Lonchura striata: one gene and its partner. Each later gene encodes a partner of the first gene's protein in a complex. Links are inferred from orthologs where the notes say so. Each region holds a gene or a part of one and is shown in the gene's direction. Other genes may lie near its edges.

Region 1 (7,760 bases):
ATTTTGCATATTAATTTGCTGGTTTCCTTTTTTAATACAAAAATTGCATCTTTCAAATATTATTTAAATGTTTTTAATAATTTCTTGAGACAATAACAGCATGAAGTTACTTGAAATCATAGTGAAATGCTCAAACATACTTTCTAATATTTTATAGGAACTTGCATATCATAGATCTTATATTGGCAGAGTTTTAACATTTCAGTGTGTTTATATATTGTGATTTTCTCAGGCGTTATAAATGACTATAATATACAGAATTAAATTAAATCTGCCAAGTGGAGCCAGCACACTTTTCTGAAGTCATTCATATCAATGTCTGAAACAATGAAGGGATGTAGACTGTGGTCTAAGCTTCCATTTCAAAGACTAACATGATGGAGAGGAGGATTTTACAGGAATCAAAGATAAGAACAGCTAAAATGTATTGGTTTAGACCTTTTTCCTGTATTGATGCTGTTGTCAGAATTCTAGTAAACTACAGAGATTCACAAAATATGAAAACTGTTTAACCTGACTGGTTTAATTATTAAACATTTTGGCCCCAAATCAGCCATGGCTCAAGGAGCTGAAACTCCACTGAACTGGATCTGCATGAGGACAGCACCAACACTATTAGATTTGGAAGAACACAAACTTCTCCCTAAGACATTAAGAAATCTGTCTATGGCCAAAACTGACATAATTAACAAGTTATTTCCACTTATGGATGCTAGCCAAGATGTTATCATTGGTTTTGGGAATATCCTAACTTTTAATACAGTTTTCCCTCCATGTACCTCTGAGGGAAGTTCAGCCACTCTCATCTTTCATATGGAAGGGACATAATCCTTGAACCTCTGTCCAGGGCTTATGAGCAGCCTGTGATACAGTGGAACTAAAACTAGGTCTCACTATTCCTGAGCTAGAAACTCAAATTATCCCAGCTCAGTTCACACAAATCTTAATTAAATGTTAATAATATCAAGTGATATTTGTGCGAAATCTGTTTTGAAACTATCAGCATGTTCTTCAGTAATTTATGGTGCTCTCTTTCAGGCATTAAGCTCTCTTTAGCGCCTGATGGAGAGCCCTGGCTGTGTCTGTGCAGAAGCTGTCAGAGACTGCATGATGAGAGTTGGTGCAGGAGCCACCAAGCCAACTGCAGAGCCCAAGCATGGGAAACCCCCAGGCTTATTCTGCCTTAGATGGGATTTGCCCTTTGAAACTCAGCCTTTGACCTCCAGTACCTTTCATAGGCTTCCCTAGGAGAGCTGGGTGGTGGTGTCTCCACAAGGATTCTCCATGAGCAACACGTGTATGTCACACCCCAGCAGGCTGGGGCTACCTGCCAAATGACCAGATGCCTCAGGGCAGGGATCGTGTGACTGTCCATCTGTAAGCAAGGGCCTTGTCTGCACTGCAGAGGTTGTGCCTGGAGGCTTTTAGCAACAAAAACGGTCCAAATTTGGACTGACATAAAGAGGAGTCTATCCTGGCAAACACACACACATACAGGAAAGCATTTTGGCAGCAGAAGTTAATCTCCATTAGCATCTCAGTTATGAGATGTGATTTACTCTCATGCTTGAAACCATTACAGTCAGGTTGACGCTTTATAGAGATTGAATAAAACCTTATGAAGAACCAAAACTATAGCTTACATTTCTTCGAAAAATGGTATCAAAGAAGTACTCTCTTCAAAACAGAACAACCTCTTTTCCTTCATACTCCCTCCTCCAACTGACGTGGTTAAAGAGAAGGTGTTCCCAGAGGTAATGTGGTGGTGATACCACAGCATGTCTGCTAGAAACTGCAATAATACTCCATGGATCTGTTTGTGTTCCAGGACACCCCTGTGTACAGTATTTTTTATTAAAAAGGCACTTACTGGCAGAGGCGTGTGTGTGTTTTGAGGAACGGCTGTTTGCCTGCTGCCCTGGTGTTTGTAGTGCTGGCCAGTGATGCAACCCTCTTTACACAAACCCCCCGACCCAGGCGAGCCGTGATCACCAGATCATGGCTCTTCAGAGCTGGATGCATCCCCAAAGGAGGTCTTGGGGAACAGAACCTTCTTGGCTTACACTGAGCTATAGCGTTTCAATTTAAAAATAGCTGTTGATTTAGAAATGTCCTTTTAAAACAGTTGTGTTGTAATAGTGCCATCCTATGAAAAGAATATTGTAAACTTAAACGTTCACCTCTGCTGAGATGAACATCCTTCTTATTTGCTTTTACTGGTAGCAAATATTACTTCAAAGATTTCTTGTAAATGATCGTGAATGCTATCTCAATGTTCTGGGAGCAACATTAATGACTGGGCTATTCACTTTGGCTTTCATATAACACTAAAAGTTCATCCAATTTGTTAGTCACCTTCTATGAAATAGTGCTTATAAAATAATACATTGTTAGCTATTTCCAGAATTGCAGCTGTAGCTGACATGCAAGCACACATCAAGTCATACGTAACAAAGAAAATTAATGAAGTGCATATTCTTATTAATATTACTGTCATGATTTATTGATGTTCCAGGTCTAAATTTCACCCTAGACTAAACCTTCTAGGGAAAAAAAAATAAATTTGTCCCCTAACTGGATTCTGAAAACTCTGAAAAGATGAATTTGTCCTCTGAGTTTCTAAAGCATTACCAGGATAACAGGAAACAAATTCAGGTTATAAATTTCTGAGGGGAATGTTTATGTGTAAAAAAAAATAGGAAAACTACAGCAACTCCAGGGCCATGTGAATACTTCTATTGATAGTAATAACAAGTGCAGACAAGTTTTCTCGCTAAATATAATTTTTAAAATTTTGCTACCAGAGTGCATATTTCAAATTTTGTTTCCCTTTAAAAAGCAGTGGAAATAAATCTGATTTCTTTCAACAGAAAATAGGAAAGAAACAACTCTATAAACAGCCAGAGACTACCCTTTAAACCATTTCCACACATCAAATCCACCAGTCAACTGAGTGATCAAGCAGGCACATGCTATTCTGCGTGCAACTTTAAAAAAGAAAGATAAACCTATTTGAAATTCTGAGCTCTCTCCAAGTTTCCTTTCAAATGTTGTGTATCTTCAGTCTAACCTCATCAGCCCAAGAGGATGTAAGAGACTTGCCCCATTTTGACACACTGCCCTGTGGAGTTTGCACTCTAGGTTGCACTTTAAGCAAGGGCAGACAAAGCTCCCTCTCTGCGAGATGCTGTGCTGGTGTTTATGGCAAGCTCTGAAATCTAACGGGGATTGCCAGCCACACCAGAGGTAATACCAAAATAGGCTGGCTTGTTAAACATGAAACCTGCCTGCCTTGGCTTGAAGCTGAGCTGGCAATAGTTCCCCACTACTGACACAATGTAATTGGCATCTTTTCCCGACTCTACCTAGAACGGGAGATGGGGCTCAAAGCCACTTCGAGCACGTTTCCATCACTGTATCCTAAATTACTAAATACAAAGCACCAGCGCAGCCACCAGAAGTGACCCACCAACTGCAGAAAAGACACGATATTTATGTCAAGTAGGCAAGCTGTGTGCCAGAAATGCCAAGCTAACGCTGTCCTGTAGAAGACAGCAGTTTTGAACCAGCTATGTTGCACTGAATTACTTCTAGCTCAGATGGTTTTGCAAACTGTTCACAGCTCAGGCATGCAGGCAAGCAGACAGAGCGAGTGGCTGGTTTGGTGGTAAAGAAGAGCATCATGACGGAGTGGCTGCAAAAGATGAGCTTGCCAAATCCCAGCTACTGCTCAGGAGGACAAGACTTCTTAAAATTAAGAACAGGTGAGTATATGTGGAGAAAGTAGGTGCCTATTTGAAATTTGCACAAATGCATTTAGTTATTCTGCTCACAAATGGAAGTGAAATACCTGGTGGACTAACAGGGTACGTTTGTAATAGAATTATAGCCTCTGCCCTTTCACAGCCAACACTTTGACATGAAGTACAGGGGTCGCCAGCTTGTTCACACCCTTTGCTCTTCATCAAAATGAGGTCCTGTGGAGCCAAACTAAAGACACCCTTCCCAAAAGATCAGCTATAATGGCTAACATCCAATATCGCCGCAGTTCAACACCGTATGGCTTTACCCTTGAGAACTCACGAGGAAAGCAACACATGAACCCTGTAGCCCCACGGCCCTAAACACTTGCAAAGTGCGATAGTTTCAGGCCCAAGGAAGCGGGACTGCCCAGCCCAGGCTCGATCCCGCATCCTGCGGGGCAGCGCTCGGGCCGGGCCGCTCCCGCCTCTCCGCAGCGCCACACCGCCCTCTGCCGGCCGCCGGCCGCACTGCGCCGCGCCCGCCGCCGGGGACAGCGCGCCCCGGGATGGCCGCGGATGGCTCCGGCCGGAGGGACCGCAGTGAGTGCGGTCATCGGATCCCGCCGGGCCATCCCGGAGCATGCGGCACAGGGCTGCGATTATCTCCAGTGATGGAGACTCCGCCACTTCTCTGTGCCGCTTTCCCCATGCTCAGGTGGAACTTCCTGTGCATGAGGTTCTGCCCACTGCCTCTTGTCCTGTTGCTTGGCACCACCGACAGAGCCTGGTTTCATTCTCCTGTCACCACCCCTCTCTATATTTGTACACATTGCTGAAGTGACTCGCACCGGCTGCTCCGGTAGCGCCAGCGGGGCTCGAACCCTGAACCACCGCACAGCGAGTGGAGGGGTTGCCATAAGCCCCGCCCCGCCGCTTCGGCGCCTCCGCCCGGGCTCAGGCGTCACTTCCGGCCCGGCGCGGGAAGGCGCCGGAAGTGGCTCCAGAGCGGCCGCGGCGGGGGAGCCCGGCGGCGCCATGGCGGAGGTGAGGCACGGGGAGCGGCCCCGCGCCTTCGCTCTGTCGCGGCCTGCAGACGCTCCGGGCGAGACCAGGGAGCGGGAGCGGGTTGGGGCCGGGCGGGAGAAGCGCCGCCCTGCACCCTCGCAGTCCCCGGGTGGGAAAGGGCTGTAGGGATGGTCCGTGGCGGCCCCTCCATCTGCGCGGCCCCGCCCGCTGCGGCCCGGGGACAGCGAGGTGCGGGTCGGAGTGTGCGTGTGTGGCCGGGAGTGAGCAGCGGCTTTGCTTTGCCAGACTTGTGCCGAATGCCGGCGCTGGGGCCCATCGGGCCGCCAGCTCGTCACCAGAGGGGATTGTCCCGCTCTGCTCTGGGGCGGTCTCACCTCGAGTGCTGGGGTTTGTTTTGGGTACCACAACATCGGGAAAAGGTATAAAGCATATGGAGATGAATAGTCAGAATGAATGGTCGGAGTGAGGAATGGATGAAGTCGTTTGCCATATTCAGCCTGGAGGAGAGGGTGAAGGGAAACTTCATTTCAGTTTACAGCTTCCTCTCGAGGGGAAAGCAGAGGAGCAGGCTCCGATCTGATCGTGGATCCGATCTGTGGTGGTCCAAGAGAATGGCCTGAAGCTGTGTCAGGGGAGGTTTAGGTTGGATATCAGGCAAAGGTCAGGGTGGAGGGGTGCTTGAACAGGCTCCCAGGGAAGTGATCACAGCAGCAAGGCTGACAGAGTTCAATGAGCATTTGAACAATGCTCTTGGGCACAGAGGATGTGCCTCTTGGGGTGTCCTATGCAGGGCCAGGAGCTGGACTCCGTGATCCCTGTAAGCCACTTCCAGCTCAGTACATTCTGTTCTGTGATTGTGGGGAAGTGATGCTGTGATGTTTAACCACCAGAAACCTACTGCTGACTCTGTCAGCCAGCTTCTTTTGTGAGGCCTTGCGAGCACACCTGTGGAGGAGGCCACTGGTTTTACAGGTGGTAGAATCTTTACTGTGGAGTGAATATCATGCACTTCTGAAGGCATGTGGGGCTGTCAGAGTTGTAGAAGAAGGTGCAACAACTGCTGCCTGATGCAACACTATGAGCTATTTTTTTTCAAAAAGCATCCATCAAAAATTACTTGCAGCAAGTTTCTTCCCTGTTGGGGAGACATGGTGGTACCTACTCCTCTGTTTGTCAACAGCTGCTGTTTTTGGGTGGTGATTAGCCATGTTAACATGAAGTGGTACTGTACATAGAAATTAATGACTGCTCATGTTCTTTTCACAGTGGTAGTGAAGGAAAATGTACAGGTGGTTTTTGTTTGTTTGTTTGTTTTTCTGAATTGGCTTCTATATTGCTTACATATGAAAACAGAACTGGGAAGGACGTGGGATAAAAGCTTTTATATTCATGGATTTGTCATGTAAATGCCAGTGCAGAAAGTTGGATTAAAGTTTTTGGCTTGCTTTTCAAATTCTTGTAAGTTTTCAAGGAATAGAATACAGTTTTGAATAAACACTGAAGTAAAACAACTGACATAATAACTTAACTTTTTAGTTTCCAAGAATATTAGTGTCTTCTGTGAACCAAATGGTTGCATGTCATAGAACTGAGAAATTGCTACTCAGTTCAATTTATGTTTCAGTTTTCAGTTTTTGATGTAGATCTGTTCAAACTTATTTAAATACTCTTTTCTTTATTTTAGGAAGTGCAAAAGCATTCTGTGCACACACTTGTGTTCAGGTCTTTGAAGAGAACCCATGACATGTTTGTAGCTGATAATGCCAAACCTATCCCATTGGATGAAGAAAGGTAAGTGCTGCTGCACTCAGTGAAGTTTTAAACTCTGTCAGTGATTGCTCCACCCAAGTCAGAAATTCAGATATTTCTGTACTGGCAACAGTGTAGTTTTGAGGGGAGAGAAATATTAGGGTTGTAAAGTTAAGTTTTATGACATCCTCTCTAAGATATTTCAAAACCTGGTAGCGGTTCAGAAAGTGGGGTTCAGTGAGGATTTTGCTTTTCTCTTGCCACAGTCACAAGGTGAAGATGGCTGTCAAGCTGCGCACGGAGTACGGCTCAGTGCTGCACATGCCCACGCTCAAAGAGAACCTGAGGGAGAAAGGAGGCGCCAACACGGGGGATCCCTATGGACACAAACAGTATTCTGGAAATCAAGGTTAGTTGGCCCCTAGTGCTATATTTGTTCTTTCTTTTGTAACAGTCTCAGTGATGTAAAATCTTCAGAATGCAGTCTAGCGTTAATCCACTGGAGATAAATGCAGAAATCAAAAAAAACCCTTTTTTGATTGGTATTTTTTTGCTAGGGTCCACAGGTGGTAAGTGATTCAGAAATCACTTTGCTTTTAACAAAGGAGTTATTGGGTGCTGTGGATTTTTATAGTGATGAATTAGTAAAAAGAGTAATTTTTGGTAACATTAGTGTGTGGAGTTGTTAGTGTATTAGGTGTTACAGTTGAGTAATGTATTTCTTATGTTTGCAAGTTCATGATGGTTAAGGACGTGCTCTTTGGTTGACTTTTGTTTGCTTAGGCATTTTTGTGCGTTGTTTTTTGTTTGGGATGGTTTTTTGTTATTTTGTTTCATAGTATATTTACAGTCTTTTAGCTGTGCAATTTTTAAACCAGAAAATGCTTTATTTCAAATCTGTAGAGTTTATTTAAATATGTGTTTTGTAATGTATAAAATGTGGATGTATTAGGTAGATACCATATGAAAATTACAGACAGCCAAATGACTAGCTTACGTTTCAGACACCCGTGCTGTTTGAATACATGGTATCTGCTTCAAAGGCAGCATGAAGATTTTTTTTCTTGAGTCCTCTTGATAACAGGTCGCTTCACCATTCAAATTAATTGTTTTTTTACAGTTGAGTTTTCTAAAATGGAGATAACCAGAACAACTTAAATTAATGAAAATGAGAAATGTCTAACTACATTGGAGGTGGTTACCAGTTTCTTTTGCTGTGTATGATCTGCTCTCTTTTCCTCT
Region 2 (6,921 bases), on another chromosome or scaffold:
GTTTTGGGGCAGATTTTGGGGCGGTTTTCCTCAGGTTTTGGGGCGGTTCCCCTCCTGTTTGGGGCGGGTTTTTGAACGATTCTCCTCAGGTTTGGGGCCGGTTTTGGGGCGGGTTTTTGGGGCTGTTCCCCCCAGATTTGGGGTGGATTTTGGGGCGGTTCCCCTCAGGTTTGGGGCGGGTTTTGGGGCGGTTCCCCTCAGGTTTTGGGGCGGTTTTCCTCAGTTTTGGGGCGGGTTTTTGAACGATTCTCCTCAGGTTTGGGGTGGGTTTTGGGGTGGGTTTTGGGGTGGTTCCTCTTAGGTTTTGGGGCGGATTTTGGGACGATTCTCCTCAGGTTTGGGGCGGATTTTGGGGCAGTTTTCCTCAGGTTTGGGGTGGGTTTTTGGGACGGTTTCCCTCACGTTTGGGGCGGGTTTTTGGGACGATTCTCGTCAGTTTTGGGGCGGGTTTAGGGCGGTTCGGGGCGAGGTTTAGGGCGGGATTAGGGTGGGATTAGGGCGGGTTTAAGGCGGGTTTAGGACGGGTTTAGGGCGGGTTCAGGGCGGGTTTAAGGCGGGTTCAGGGCGGGTTTAAGGCGGGTTCAGGGCGGGTTTAAGGCGGATTTAGGGCGGGTTTAAGGCGGATTTAGGGCGGGTTCAGGGCGGGTTTAGGGCGGGTTTAAGGCGGATTTAGGGCGGGTTCAGGGCGGGTTTAAGGCGGGTTTAAGGCGGATTTAGGGCGGGTTCAGGGCGGGTTTAAGGCGGATTTAAGGCGGGTTCAGGGCGGGTTCAGGGCGGGTTTAAGGTGGGTTTAAGGCGGGTTCAGGGCGGGTTTAAGGTGGGTTTAAGGCGGGTCCAGGGCGGGTTTAAGGCGGGTTCAGGGGGCCATGGCGGAGGCGGCGCAGGGCCGGGTGCAGGCCGCGGTGGAGAGCGCGGTGCAGGGGCTGGAGCGGGAGCAGATCCGCGCCATGCAGGTACCGGGACACCGGGGGACACCGGGGGACACCGGGGGACACCGGGGGACACCGGGGGACACGCCGGGAGGGGTCCGCGCCCGCCCGGGGCTGCGGCGGTACCCCCGACCCCAACACACGTGGGTGCCCCGGGCAGCGCCGGGAGCGGCCCCGAGACCCCCCCCAAACCACTGAGATCCCCCCAAATTCAATACACAGGCTGAGACCCCCCCCCAAATCACTGAGATCCCCCCAAATTCAATACACAGGCTGAGACCCCCCCCAAATCACCGAGATCCCCCCAAATTCAATACACAGGCTGAGACCCCCCCAAATCACTGAGATCCCCCCAAATTCATTACACACCCTGAGACCCCCCCAAACCACTGAGATCCCCCCAAATTCAATACACAGGCTGAGACCCCCCCCCAAATTCAATACACACCCTGAGACCCCCCCCAAATCACTGAGATCCCCCCAAATTCAATACACACCCTGAGATCCCCCCCAAATCACTGAGATCCCCCCAAATTCATTACACACCCTGAGACCCCCCCCCCAAATCACTGAGATCCCCCCAAATTCATTACACACCCTGAGACCCCCCCCAAATCACTGAGATCCCCCCAAATTCAATACACAGGCTGAGACTCCCCCCCAAATCACTGAAATCCCCCCAAATTCAATACATACCCTGAGACCCCCCTCCCAAATCACTGAAATCCCCCCAAATTCATTGTGACCTCCTCCCATACACACCCTGAGACCTCCCCAAATCACTGAGACCCCCCCAAATCACTGAAATCCCCCCAAATTCAATACACAGGCTGAGACCCCCCCCAAATCACTGAGATCCCCCCAAATTCATTGTGACCTCCTCCCATACACACCCTGAGACCCCCCATACACACCCTGAGACCTCCCCCAAATCACTGAAATCCCCCCAAATTAATTGTGACCCCCTCCCATACACACCCTGACACCCCTCAAATCACTGAGACCTCCCCCTCAAATTCCCTGACACCCCCGCAATTCACTGAAACCCCCCCAAATTCATTGTGACCTCCCTATACACCTCCTGAGATCCCCCAAATCACTGTGACCCCCCCAAATTCATTGCGACCCCCTCCCATACACACCCTGACACCCCCTAAACCACTGAGACCCCCCCCCAAATTCCATTCTCTGTGCCCCCCAGTTCATTCCCTGTGCCCCCCCCTGCTCAGGGCACACCCGGCTGGTCCCCCCAAGGGGGCTGGGACCCCCAGACTGACCCCACTGACCCCTTGTGACCCCCCCTTCCCTCCATGGCCCTGGGGGTCACCCTTCTCCACCGTGTCCCCAGTGTCCCCCTCACCTGGGAGTGTCCCCGGAGTGTCCCCAGGGTGCCCCCCATTAACCCCCTGACCCTTGGTGCCCCTGGGGTGTACCCCCTTGTCCCGTGTTTCCCCATTAACCCCTCATGCCCCATGTCCCCAGAGTGTCCTCTGTTTTCCCTGTGTCCCCTGTTTCCCCGTTAACCCCTCATGCCCCGTGTCCCCAGGGTGTCCCCTATTAACTCCTCGTGCCCTGTGTCCCCCGTTAACCCCTCATGCCCCGTGTCCCCAGGGTGTCCCCTATTAATTCCTCGTGCCCTGTGTCCCCCGTTAACCCCTCGTGCCCCGTGTCCCCAGGGCGCCATGTTCCGCTGCAGCGCGCGCTGCTGCGAGGACGCAGCGGCCTCCATGCAGGAGGTGCAGCGCTGCATCGAGCGCTGCCACGCGCCCCTGGCCCGCGCCCAGGCCATCGTCACCGCCGAGCTGGAGCAGTTCCAGGTGAGCGCAGGCACCAGGACCCCTGGGACAGCACCGGGACCCCGCCTGGGACCCCTGGGACAGCACTGGGACCCCGCCTGGGACCCCTGGGACAGCACCGGGACCCACCCTGGGACCCCTGGGACAGCACCGGGACCCTCTGGGACAGCACCGGGACCCCTGGGACCTCTGGGACAGCACCAGGACCCTCTGGGACAGCACCGGGACCCCTGGGACCCCTGAGACAGCGCCAGGACCCACCCTGGAACCCCTGGGGACAGCACCAGGACCCCTGGGACAGCATCAGGATCCTGCCTGGGACCCCTGGGACAGCACTGGGACCCCTGGGGACAGCACTGGAACCCCCTGAGACCCCTGGGGACAGCACTGGGACCCTAGGCAGGACATGAACCCCACCCCAGTCCCTCCCCTGATCCCCCCAATGTGCTCCCAGTCCCCCCATTCTCCCCCAGCCCCGCTGACCCTGCTGCCCCCAGGACCGGCTGAGCCGCTGCTCGCTGCAGTGCTCGGACCAGGCCAAGGACGCGCTGGACGCGGGGGGCTCGGAGCCGCGTGTGCGGGGCCAGCTGGATGCCTGCCTGGCCACCTGCGGGGAGCAGCACCTGCGCCTCGTGCCCGCCATGGCCAGGAAGATGCGGGACGGGCTGGCCAGCATCCAGCAGTGACCGCGGGGGCACCCCGGGGACACCCCGGGGACACCCCGGGACACCCCGCGCTCATTAAAGGCCAGGTGGCAGCTCCACCGACCGCGGGCGTGCTGGGGGACTGGGGGTGATGGGGGAACTGGGGGTGATTGGGTGGCATTGGCAGTGATTGAGGCACAGGGTGATGGGGGGAACTGGGGGTGATTGGGGGACTGGGGGGCACTGCGGGTTATGGGGGGACAGGGGGAACTGGGGGTTATGGGGGAAACTGAGGGTAATGGGGGCATGGGAGGTATGGGGGCACTGGGGGAACAGGGTGATGTGGGGGACTGGGGGTGATTTGGGCAGTGGGGAACGGGGGCACTGAGGAACTGGGGGTGAGGGGGTGGATGTTGAGGAGACACTGCAGGAGATGGGGGCACTGGGGGTGATGGGGGAACTGGGGGGCACTGGGAGCAATGGGGGCTGTGAGGGGGTGACGGGCTGGGTGCTGAGGGAACTCTGCAGATAAGGGGGGGCATTGGGGGGTGATGCTCACACACGGGCACACACACACACGTGTGCACATGTGGACACACACACACGACACACGTGTGCGCTCACACACGTGTGCACACACACACACACTCACACACATGCGCACTCACGCCCCCAGCACGCGCCCCGCCGCGCCGCCCGCATGGCGGCCATGCCGCCGTACCTCCCCGTGTAGCCGCGCACTCCCCTCACCGACCCCTGCATCCCCCCGCTGCCTCGCCCCTGCCGCGCCGCTACTCGGGTGAGTGCGGGAGCGCGCCGCGGGCCGCCATTGGCCGGCGCGGGGAGACGCACGGCGCGCTGACGTCAGAGCGCGGCAGGGACGGCCGGGGGCTGCGGGCGCCATGAGCAAAGCGCACCCGCCCGAGCTGAAAAAGTGCGGCCGGGGACGAGCGGGGCGAGGGCAGCCGGGGCCCGGGCGGGGGGAAGTGGGGGCCGCTGCTGCCCGGTACTCCGGTGCAACGGCGGCGGGGGACGCGCGGTCGCTGTGGGGATAATGGCGGGGGGGCTCCTGCCCCGTCGCCACCCGCCGGCGCTCACCCGCTGCCGTCTCCTTGCAGGTTCATGGACAAGAAGCTGTCGTGTGAGTTCTGGAGCGGATCTCGTCCTGGTCCCCCTCACGGTGCCCGGGGGCCCCATCCCGCCCCGATCCCTCTCACGGTTCCTGGGACCCCCGCCCCAGTCCCGCTCAGGGTGTCCCGGGACTCTCCCCCACCCCGATCCCCTCACGGTGCTCAGGCAGGGACCCCAATGCCGATCCCGTCACGGTGCCCGGAGACCCCCGCCCCGATCCCCATCACGGTGCTTAGGGACCCCCGCCCCCATTCCCATCAGGGTGTCCCAGGACCCCCGCCCCAATCCCCTCACGGTGCCCAGGTAGGGACCCCCATCCCAATCCCTCTCACGGTGCCCTGGGACCCCCGATCCCCTTCACGCCCACCGCTGTTGGGGACCCACCCCCCAACAATGCCCCGTTTTGGGGACCCTCCACAGCCCCGTTTCCCTCTCGTGGCCCCGCTGTGGGAGTCTCCTGAGCCCCCCACCCGGTTTTTGGGGACCCCGCCCACCCCTCACAGAGCCCAGATAAGAGGTCCCGGCTGCTGATTTCCGACCTTAGAGCGCATGAATTAAAATTCTAATTCATTCATTAATAATTCATTAATTAACTAGAACACGGGTTGAAAATTCGCTCTGTTCCCCCTGTCCCATTAACGGGTTGTGCTCAGTCGTTCCCATTCCCCCCGCTGGTTTTGGGGGGTGCACGGCCCCGTTGTGGGGTGCCCGCGCTCAGGCCCCGCTCCCCGCAGTGAAGCTGAACGGCGGGCGGCACGTGCAGGGCATCCTGCGCGGCTTCGACCCCTTCATGAACCTCGTCATCGACGAGTGCGTGGAGATGGCGGCGGGCGGGCAGCAGAACAACATCGGCATGGTGGTGAGGCACTGGGAGCACTGGGAGTGAGAGCACTGGGAGCGGGGTGGTGAGAGCACTGGGAGTGGGGTGGTGAGGGTACTGGTAGTACTGGGAGCAGGGCAGTGAGGGCACTGGGAGCATTGGGAGTCAGGTGGTGAGGGTACTGGGAATACTGGAAGCAGGGTGGTGAGGCACTGGGAGTACTGGGACAGGGTGGTGAGGGCACTGAGAGCACTGGGAGCACTGGGAGCAGGGCAGTGAGGGCACTGGGAGCACTGGGAGTCGGGTGGTGAGGGTACTGGGAATACTGGAAGCAGGGTGGTGAGGCACTGGGAGTACTGGGAGTGGGGTGGTGAGGGCACTGGTAGTACTGGGAGCAGGGCAGTGAGGGCACTGGGAGCACTGGGAGTCGGGTGGTGAGGGTACTGGGAATACTGGAAGCAGGGTGGTGAGGCACTGGGAGTACTGGGACAGGGTGGTGAGGTCACTGGGAGTACTGGGAGTGGGGTGGTGAGGGCACTGGGAGTACTGGGAGGAGGGTGGTGTGTGCGACTGGGCGTACTGGGCATAGGGTGGTGAGGGCACAGGGAACACTGGGGGCACTGGGACAGGGTGGTGAGAGCACTGGGAGTACTGGGAGCAGGGTGGTGAGTGCACCTGGAGCACTGGGAGGTCTTTTCCACTCTCAAGGATTCTGGTATCCTGTGATCCTTGAGGATTTCGGGTTAAAATCAGTCTATTTTGGCTTTTGTGAGGAGGAAATTCCAGCCAAATTTTCTGGGATTTTTGGGAAAACAAACTGGAAGGAAGGAACCCTTAGGTAACAGCTCTCACCTTGCCCCTTCCAGGTGATCCGAGGGAACAGCATCATCATGCTGGAAGCTTTGGAACGAGTATAAACCCCTGGAAAACCCCAAGTCCTCACCCACTGCTTCCGTTCCCTCGTCCAAAATGCCGCCCACGAGTGTACAATTATTTTGATTGTGTTATTAAATCAATTTTGTAATGGTTGACCCAAATCAAGCCTTTGTCGCACCAGTTTTTGGCAGCTCAGCGGTAATTCTGTTCCCGATCCTGGTACAACTTTTATTTATGGAAGTGGGTGTTCAATTTATACTATTTCTGGTGGTTTTTTTACTTAAAACACACTTGGGTTATTAAATTCTTTATTAACTTCGTACCTGAACACGGCCGTGGATGTTGGTGGTTCTCCCTCTTTCCCACTTATTTTCCCCCAGTTCCCACCCTGAGGAATAATTCCTTGGCAGAGCCTTGGGAAAAGTTGGGGCAGAGGGATGGACAGCCAGGGAGTCAATATTCCCAGCTGGAGGGCACTTTGGGGGTCAATATGGCACTTTTAATGAATTCCCTACCTCAGACAGGGCTAAATCAAGGAAAACTGAGGAAAACTCATGGATTTGTGTGAGGAAAACGTCCCAGCTTACTTGGGAACTCTTCACTGCTCCTGCTCCCTCTAGAGCTGGCCAAACAGCTTCCAGGTGGCACCAGGGGACATCAGGATGAGATATTGGGAAGAATTTTGTCATGGCAGGAAGGGTTGTCCAGCCTAGGTTGTGGCAGAG

What was found. The genes of interacting proteins can lie anywhere in the genome.
Region 2: PLRG1 (region 1) and SNRPG share a complex: the UniProt entries of both Homo sapiens proteins name them as parts of the minor spliceosome. The link is inferred for Lonchura striata from reciprocal best matches to the Homo sapiens genes PLRG1 and SNRPG.

The regions. Positions count from the first base shown.
Region 1 is NC_134606.1:42,269,649-42,277,408, forward strand, and holds the start of PLRG1 (pleiotropic regulator 1), read left to right. Parts: upstream 1-4,720; 5' UTR 4,721-4,778; coding exon 4,779-4,787; intron 4,788-6,453; coding exon 6,454-6,560; intron 6,561-6,784; coding exon 6,785-6,927; intron 6,928-7,760. UniProt on the Homo sapiens protein: Involved in pre-mRNA splicing as component of the spliceosome. Component of the PRP19-CDC5L complex that forms an integral part of the spliceosome and is required for activating pre-mRNA splicing.
Region 2 is NC_134634.1:399,359-406,279, reverse strand, and holds SNRPG (small nuclear ribonucleoprotein G), read left to right. Parts: upstream 1-4,233; 5' UTR 4,234-4,271; coding exon 4,272-4,303; intron 4,304-4,487; coding exon 4,488-4,510; intron 4,511-5,234; coding exon 5,235-5,359; intron 5,360-6,186; coding exon 6,187-6,237; 3' UTR 6,238-6,357; downstream 6,358-6,921. Other genes in the region: protein FAM136A, read left to right, coding at 867-953, 2,606-2,746, 3,223-3,411. UniProt on the Homo sapiens protein: Plays a role in pre-mRNA splicing as a core component of the spliceosomal U1, U2, U4 and U5 small nuclear ribonucleoproteins (snRNPs), the building blocks of the spliceosome.